Sus scrofa: one gene and its partner. The protein of the gene in region 2 purifies or fractionates together with the protein of the main gene of each other region. This does not show direct contact. Links are inferred from orthologs where the notes say so. Each region holds a gene or a part of one and is shown on either strand. Other genes may lie near its edges. The genes, in order: ANAPC7 and ANAPC13.

Region 1 (3,812 bases), on a different chromosome or scaffold from region 2:
CAGTGATGAAAAACCGCTTAGATGCAAGAATGCGTCCAACTGTGCATTAAGTACTAAAAGCAAAATTCACTGTGAATCTAAAAATAGAATTAAACATGGATTATCTGGGCTCTACCCCAAGTCATGCATTGTTCATCCCTTTTATACAAACAGCTCAAAATCTAAAGTTTTTTATAATTTTACGGCAAGTACACTTTTTTTTTTTTTTTAAATCTTTTTAGGGCCCCAGCAGTGGTATATGGATATTCCCAGGCTAGGGATCAAATTGGAGATGTAGATGCCAGCCTACATCACAGCCATAGCAACTTGAGATCCATGCCATATCTGTGACCTATGCCACAGCTCACGGCAACACCGGATCCTTAGCCCACTGAACAAGGCTGGGGATTGAATCTGCATCCTCATGGATGCTAGTCGGGTTTGTTAACCACTGAGCCACGATGGGAACTCCAATACTCTTTTTGTTTAAAGGGGATAGATTATAGGTACGTCCTGGTATATGCCTAAAATCTGTATGGGTAATAGACATGAAAAATTTTGTGTGTGTGTATGAAGGAAATAAATTAAATAGAATCTTTAGGGAGAGGGAAATTTTTACTTTTCTATTTGAACCTGTCTTTAAATTATACATGCAACTTGGAGTTCCTGTCATAGTTCAGCGGAAAAGAATCTGACTAGGAACCGTAAGGTTGCAGGTTTGATCCCTGACCTCACTCAGTGAGTTAAGAATCTGGTGTTGCCGTGAGCTGTGCTGTAGGTCACAGACGAGGCTCAGATCCCGTGTTGCTGTGGCTGTGGTGTAGGCTGTGGTACAGGCCAGCAGCAACAGCTCCAATTCGACCCCTAACCTGGGAACCTTCATATGCCGCAGGTGTGGCCCTAAAAAGACAAAAGACCAAAAAAAAAAAAAAATTATACGTGCAACTTATATTTAAGAGGAATGTCAGTAGAATGAACTGAGAGTGAAATTATAAGTCATGTTCTATATTTTTTCACATTAAAAAAGATAAAAATTAATGGTTTTTTTTTTTTTTTTTTTTTTTTTTTTCCCCTTTTTAGGCCTGCATCTGGTATGTGGAAGTTCCCAGGCTAGGGTTGAATTGGCGCTTCAGCCGCAACCTACACACAGCAGCTTGCGGCAATACCAGATCCTTAACCCACTGAGTGAGGCCGGAGATCCTGCATCCTCATGGATACTAGTTGAGTTCTTAACCCAGTGAGCCGCAATAGGAACTCGGGTTTTTTTTGTTTGTTTTTGTTTTTTTGTCTTTTTTAAGCCCTTAGATCTTTATCTTGTTTTATTTCTCTTTAAGTAGAACCTTCATTTTTGTTATTGAAGAGCCATTTGCCAGTTTGTCTGTCGTGGTTCTTTTTAGGGCCACACCTATGGCATATGAGATTCCCAGGCTAGGGATCGAATTGGAACTGTAGCCACTGGCCTACACCACAGCCTCAGTAACACCAGATCCTAGCCACGTCAGCGACCTATAGCACAGCTCACAGCAATGCCAGATCGTTAACCGACTGATTGAGGCTGGGGATCGAACTTGTGTCCCCATGTATGCTAGTCAAAGATTTGTTTCCACTGAGCCAGGACAGGAACTCCTCTGTTTTCTTTTTTTCGGCTTTTCTAGGGCTGCGCCCACGGCATATGGAGGTACCCAGACTAGGGGCCTAATGGCAGCTGTAGCTGCCAGCCCACGCCACAGCCTCAGCAACTTGGGATCCAAGCAGCGTCTGCGACCTACACCACAGATCACAGCAATGCCAGATCTTTAACCCACTGAGTGAGGCCAGGGATCGAATCCGAAACCTCATGGTTCCTAGTCGGATTCGTTAACCACTGCTCCACGATGGGAACTCCAGGAGCTCCTCTGTTTTCTGACATTGAATGGAAGTCATGTGTATTATCCACATAGGATTAATCTTAGAAGTAGTTAAATGCTTGAGCATTCAGTACCCCAAGCACCATGCTAAACCTGTCTTGTAAATTAAATATATTCTTCAAGGAATTTTTTAAAAAATTGAGATGCAGTTCACAACATAAAATTTACAATTCAGTGAATTTTAGTATATTCACAAAATTGTACAACCATTACCACTGTTTTAATTCCAGAACTTTGTTATTACTCTTTAAAAACCTTGTGCTCATTATCTTCCCAGGCCCTGGGAATCACTGACCTTTCTGCCTCTGTAGATTTATCTATCCTGGACACTTCATATGAATGGAATTTTACAGTATGTGGCCTTTTGTGGCCAATTTCTTTTATTTAGCATATTTTCAAGGTTGATCCATGTTACAGCACAGAATAAAGAACCAGTTCTTTATTCCTTTTTATTGCAAAGTAATATTCCATTGTATGGATAGGCCATATTTTAACAATTAATGGGCATTTGGGTTGTTTCCACTCTTTGTCAGTTAATGCTGCTGTGAACATTAGTGTGCAGGTTTTTTGTGGACATATATTTTCTGGTCTCTTGGCTATATACATGGAAGCAGAGTTGCTGGGTCCTGTGGTAACTGTTTAACGTTTGAAGAATTGCCATGCTGTTGAAGTGATATTTTGAAGAAATGTTTCATTTCCTCTTAGTGTCTTCCATCTGAAATTGAGGTAAAATACAAAATGGCTGAATGTTATACAATGCTAAAACAAGATAAAGATGCCATTGCAATACTTGATGGGATCCCTTCAAGACAGAGAACTCCAAAAGTAAGTTGAATTAACAGTTTGTTACACATTTTTCTCTTCTCTGGAGTTCTTCCAGCCCTCTTCCTCCATGTTTTCTCTGTGCATTAAGAAGTCCATCTGAACATTTTTATCCTCATTTCTAGTTCTCACTTGGTTATTCTGTTCTCCCTGTTCAGAGAGATAGAAGAGTGACTTTCTTACAAGACCATGAAAATTCAGCTGATGGAAATGGTAGCTGGAGAATACTATAAGTGTTTATTCTTCAGTGTATCTTATTGTAGGAAATATGATTTGCAGTGTTATTTCTAGTTACCAATAATACTTTCTTAGGACCTCATTTTGTGCATTCTTTAGCTATACCCATTTGATTAATGTGTATTAATCTGTTCATTTTCAGAACTAAGACTACAAGATCCTGTTGTACTTATTTGTGTGAGGGATGGTATTGTATTTGATTTGGCAACATATTGTAGTGTATAGAATGCCTTTAACTGATCTGGTATCTTGTCTGAGTTTAGGGCATAAAAGCTGGGCAAGTTACCAGACTGGCTTTCCTTTTTTTCCCTTACTTATAAAATGAAGATACTGATACTTTCTCTGGTACAAATTAAGTTCATGTATGTGAGAATACTTTTCTTAAAGTACTGTTCTAGGAGTTCCCGTCGTGGCTCAGTGGTTGACGAATCCGACTGGGAACCATGAGGTTGCGGGTTTGATCCCTGGCCTTGCTCAGTGGGTCAAGGGTCTGGCGTCGCCATCAGCTGTGGTGTAAGTCGCAGATGCGGCTCGGATCCCTTGTTGCTGTAGCTCTGGTGTAGGCTGGTGGCTACAGCTCTGATTGGACCCCTAGTCTGGGAACCTCCATGTGCCACAGGAGCGGCCCTAGAAAAGGCAAAAAGACAAAACACAAACTTTAAAGTACTATTCTGTAAGGAGTATTATATTGGGCATCTCTTTTTTTTTTTTTTTTTTTTTTGGTCTTTTTAGGTCTGTGGCATATGGAAGTTCCCAGGCTAGAGGTCCAATTGGAGCTGTGGCTGTTGGCCTATGCCATCTGTGACCTATGCTGCAGGTTGCAGCAGTGCCGGATCCTTAACCCACTGAGCAAGGCCAGGTGTCAAA
Region 2 (4,483 bases):
AGGAAGAGTAGTCGCTGACAGCGGACTCATCTTTACTGTTTCAAGAAGCATAAGAAAAACCTCATTATAAGCCTAGATTTACCGCCTTAAAGTATCTTGATGATTAAAGTGTTCTAAGGACCTATACCTTTTATTTCCTCAATTTATCATTTATTTCCCATCCCTGATTTGTATGGATCCCTAAGTCCAGGGTTCCCCAATTGAGTCCTTCATGTTTTCTGCCACATTTCTGTACCTCCAATACGTTTTTAACCAACTCACTTTTTAAAACTTGCTAAACTTCCCACCCGTGAATGAACCGCTATCACCTGCCATCAATGACCTAAGTCGCAACAATGCTAAGAAGCTAACCAGATGAGGCAGCCCAGGCGAGAGGGCCTTGCCGAGGATCCCTCCCCTGAAGTGGAAGAGTGGCCCGCGGCTAACTCCGCTCCGGGAAGACGAGCAGCTCGCCCACCCCGCCGCCCTCCCGCCGGCCCGGTCTCTAGGTAAGAGCTGACCACCTGGCTGGCCGGGACCGCACGCCGAGGGAGGCCATATCCGGCTTCGCGGGTCAGCCGGGCGTCAGCGAAAAGGCCGGGGGGCGGGGCGCCGGGGCGGAGCCGGGCCGGCGGGGGCGGGCCTGGAGGCCAGCGGGCGGCTGAGGAAGCAGGCCCCAGGCCATTCGGCCGCTCGGCCCGCGGCCCCACCGCAGCCAGGGCTACCTCCAGGCCCAGAGACGGCCGCCCCTCGCCCGTCCGACGTTCGCAATGCGGTTAAGGGCTGCCGCGAGCGCTCCCCGAGCCTTCCCGCCGTTACCTACGGCTGGGGGTGCGCACGCGCGGCACCGCCAACCTGACGTCCAGCCACAGCAGTCAGCACGTTCGTTTTGCCCACTGCTCCTTCACTTTTAATTAAAACAATGTCCTCCCTAACTCCCCCTGTGCTCCGGCAAATGGGCTCACCCACATCCGGGGATCGGAAAGTGAAGGACGTCTGGGTCACGTGATGCTGAGGGCGCGGTCGGCGGGGGTGTGTGACACGCTGGGTTTGGGGCTGGTAAAAGGGTTTGCGCGCACGTAATGTAGGGTCTGGAGATACGGGAGCGCGTTCGGACTCCTGCCGTTTCTCTTGGCTTAGGTCGTTGTTTTCACATCATCCTCTCCCTCCTAACCACTTCTCTTACCACACGTTGGGCGGGGAGGAGGGGAACTTGCTTGGCTGTCCGGACCCCCCCCCCTCGCTTCCGCATTTGGTATATCCCGCCTCGGGCCGGAAGCCGTGGCTGTGGGGCGGCCTCCCAGGCCTGTATGGACGGTGGTGGCCCGAGAGGGTCATTTCTAGCGAGGGAAAAGGCGTCCCAGTTTTGCTCATGTAACTGCATGTTTCACAGAGCTCTAAAGCAGAGATGAATAAAACTGCCCTCCCCCCGGGAAACGCAGGCGTCTCGTGTCTGGAAAGACCGTGTGACAGGCAATATACCAAGATCCTGATGGGGATCATTCTCTGTGCCCAGAGAACTATGGGACCCGCGGAGGGGCGGGGACTGCGCTCTTCTGGCTCTTAGAGAACGACTCCTGCAGAAGACGACCTGGGAGCTAAATTTTTTGGACAGTTTGGGGTTAGCTGGGGAAAAAAGGAAGAAGACAGAGCATTCCAGGCATTGGGACAGTCGTATGTGTAAGAAAACTTTGTTCAGGAAAGTGGTAATGCTTCATTCTGTTGAGTGAGGCAAGTGTTTGAGACGTAGTCATTTCCTGGTCATTGCCCCTCTTTGCCCGTCTTGTGCTTTCCTTTTTTCCAGCCCCTGAAGAGAGAAGGCACCTTAGCGCCTAACTCTGGAAATGGCATGTTGGTTCTGATGAGCTGACGCCAGCTTTGAGTTTGGAAGGAAAAATGGGTGTGTTAGTGATGGGGTAAAGAACTTTGAGTGCAAAGGCTGGAAAGGATAACAGAGTTAGAGGTGTTCGGAAGAGGGACAGGTGAAAAAAGATTGAGGCCAAATTGAGGAAAGATGTGCTGAGTCACTGACAAAAAATTTTACTACACACAGCAATTGGAAGCAGTAATACCTGAGCAGTTGGTCACAAAGTCGACCTGACTTGGTTAGTAGATCATAAGGACAAAAGGTAGATCAAGGGCAGGATGTGGGCTGAAGCTGGAGTGATCTGAGAAACCCTTACAGAAAGGTGGGATCTGTGTGTGACTGGGAAAATCAGCTGGAAGGGACTGTGATCTTGTAAATAACCTGACCCGGATGAGATGAGTCTTTCCCAAAGTGATATCATGCCAAAAGACACATCCAGGCTAAAAAGCTTGGAGAACCCCTAGTGCTAGATTACATCATCTCCTCATGCTTAAGAAATAACCTCTTTGGCTTTCAGATCTGGCAAGAGCAAAGCTGCAGGAAAATGGACAGTGAGGTACAGAGAGATGGAAGGATCTTGGATTTGATTGACGATGCTTGGCGAGAGGACAAGCTGCCTTATGAAGATGTTGCAATACCACTGGTAGGCCCCTGCTTATTCTGAGGTGATGGGTTAAAGGTCTGATATAGTAGAAGTAGGATATCAATGGGCACATAAACTAGTAAAGCAAAGAAATCAGTGCTGTAGAGTCCTCTAACTCTAGAATCCTCTGAAGAACAATTATCTTGTTTTTTTTTTATTTGAAGAGAAATGTGTTTCAGAGAACTGATGTGACCAGCTCAGTTAGGGGTCATGCCAGAACTAGAGCCCAGGTCTTCTGAGCCATGTTCTGTCTGCCACACCACAGGTGGGTTTATCAGTTGACATTTTTAGACACTCACATTTTTGAAACACACACCTATCCTAGGTTCCCTGGAAAATACTCAGAAGACACCTGGCTTTTCTTTTTTTTGCATTTAGACCATCGAGCTCTCTTGTTTCCTGATCTTTGGAAAATTCTGCAAGGAGTTTGTTAAATCTCGTGTTATAAGTTATCTAAACTTTTTTTTTTTTTTTGAATGAGGGCTTATTAAAATTTGTATTTATGTTACCAAGGCCTAACAAGGAGAACAGGGAGTTTTCCTTTAGAGCCTACCAACTTTCCTAGGAAGAGCTGGTAATAGAAGACAGCTTGCAGGCGGACTGCTGCTGCCATTGACATTTCATTTAAGAATAAGTGATAACAGAGTTCCCTGGTGGCCTAGCAGGTGAAGGATCCATCATTGCTGTGGCTCTGGTCATTACTATGGCATGAGTTCAGTCCCTAGTCCAGGAACTTATGCATGCTTAAGGCATGGCAAAAGGGGGGGGCGGGTAATATGTTCAATGAATAATACACATAACACATAACTTAGTTCAAGTTTAGAAAAATAGTCAAAAGCGCATACAAGAACTATAGCTCCACTTATCAAATACCTGTTTTGTGCCATGGACCAAGATCGAAGTCTGACGTATATTATCCCTGATGCTTAAACTTCGGGGTGGTGGTGTTACCCTCAATGTACAGGAAGGATATAGGATCAAAGAGAGGAATTTGCCCAAAGGCTGGTAGCTGATAGGTTGGACTTGACATCTAAGTCTCTGAGACTCCAGATCCTGTTCTGTGGACTTTTTTGGTATCTTCATTCCACAAGCAACTCTTTGAAGCCTACTGTGTGCCGTAAGACTGGGTAAACATAAGTATAGTTTCTGCCCCTCAGGGCCTAGAGATGCAACATAATAAGTAATTTTAATAGTAGGTGCTCTTAGTGGGGGGTGATAAACAGCTACAGCCAGGCAGTAGACATCAGGAAGGGCCTCAGCGAAAAAAAATCACATTTAAGCTGGTCACGAGGAAGGACCAGAGGTTTAGTGGGTAAACAAGGGCCCTCCAGTAAAGGGGACAAATGTGCAAAGGCTTAGAGTTTTGAAAGGCTTTGGGAGATGGTGAAACCTCCGTGTGGATGGAGGGTATACTCGTCATCAAATGTGGTAAGAAAAGTTGGTGTTGGACCCAATTCTGAGAGGAGCATTGGATGCCATGCTTAGCCCTCATCTTAAGGATATGCAGGAGTGAGTGGTCTTCAAAGTGGAAATCTGCCTTCTCACTCACATAGATTAGAAGATCAGCTTAGCATTGTTAAAGAATGTCTGTTGTGGAGAAAGGGTTCAGTGACAGGGCAGAGACCAGTTCGGATGCTATTATAACGTCTAGACAAGGAAGAAAGGGCCTAAACAAAAGCAGGAAAGTGGAGGGAGTTGCTGAATTCTGGACATGCTAACAGCAGAATTTCAGGACCATTTATGTAGAAAGGGTTGAGGGAGAAGGAAATTTCAATGCCGACTTCCAGGTTGTAGCCGGGCCGTATTGCTAATCCATGTCTTTTCCCAGGGCCTGCAGTTCTAAGGCAATGTTTGTGTTAGTTAGCTTTTGCTGCTGCCTAACAAATAACCCCAAAACATAGTGCCTTAAAACAACTGCTGTTTATGTCCTGATTGTGACACTCAGCTGAGAGAGTCTCCTGATATTTGCCAGCTTGGTTGATCCCTGCTGGACT

The links.
Region 1: the proteins of ANAPC13 (region 2) and ANAPC7 purify together in Homo sapiens (affinity purification with mass spectrometry; 3 studies listed by BioGRID and IntAct, counting the BioPlex papers as one, with this or other methods). This does not show direct contact. The link is inferred for Sus scrofa from reciprocal best matches to the Homo sapiens genes ANAPC13 and ANAPC7.

What each region holds. Positions count from the first base shown.
Region 1 is NC_010456.5:31,779,597-31,783,408, reverse strand, and holds part of ANAPC7 (anaphase-promoting complex subunit 7), read left to right. Parts: intron 1-2,591; coding exon 2,592-2,711; intron 2,712-3,812. UniProt on the Homo sapiens protein: Component of the anaphase promoting complex/cyclosome (APC/C), a cell cycle-regulated E3 ubiquitin ligase that controls progression through mitosis and the G1 phase of the cell cycle.
Region 2 is NC_010455.5:75,602,168-75,606,650, reverse strand, and holds the start of ANAPC13 (anaphase-promoting complex subunit 13), read left to right. Parts: upstream 1-1,635; 5' UTR 1,636-1,659; exon of another isoform or gene 1,660-1,710; intron 1,711-2,032; exon of another isoform or gene 2,033-2,084; intron 2,085-2,363; 5' UTR 2,364-2,390; coding exon 2,391-2,489; intron 2,490-4,483. Other genes in the region: CEP63 (centrosomal protein of 63 kDa), read right to left, coding at 504-538. UniProt on the Homo sapiens protein: Component of the anaphase promoting complex/cyclosome (APC/C), a cell cycle-regulated E3 ubiquitin ligase that controls progression through mitosis and the G1 phase of the cell cycle.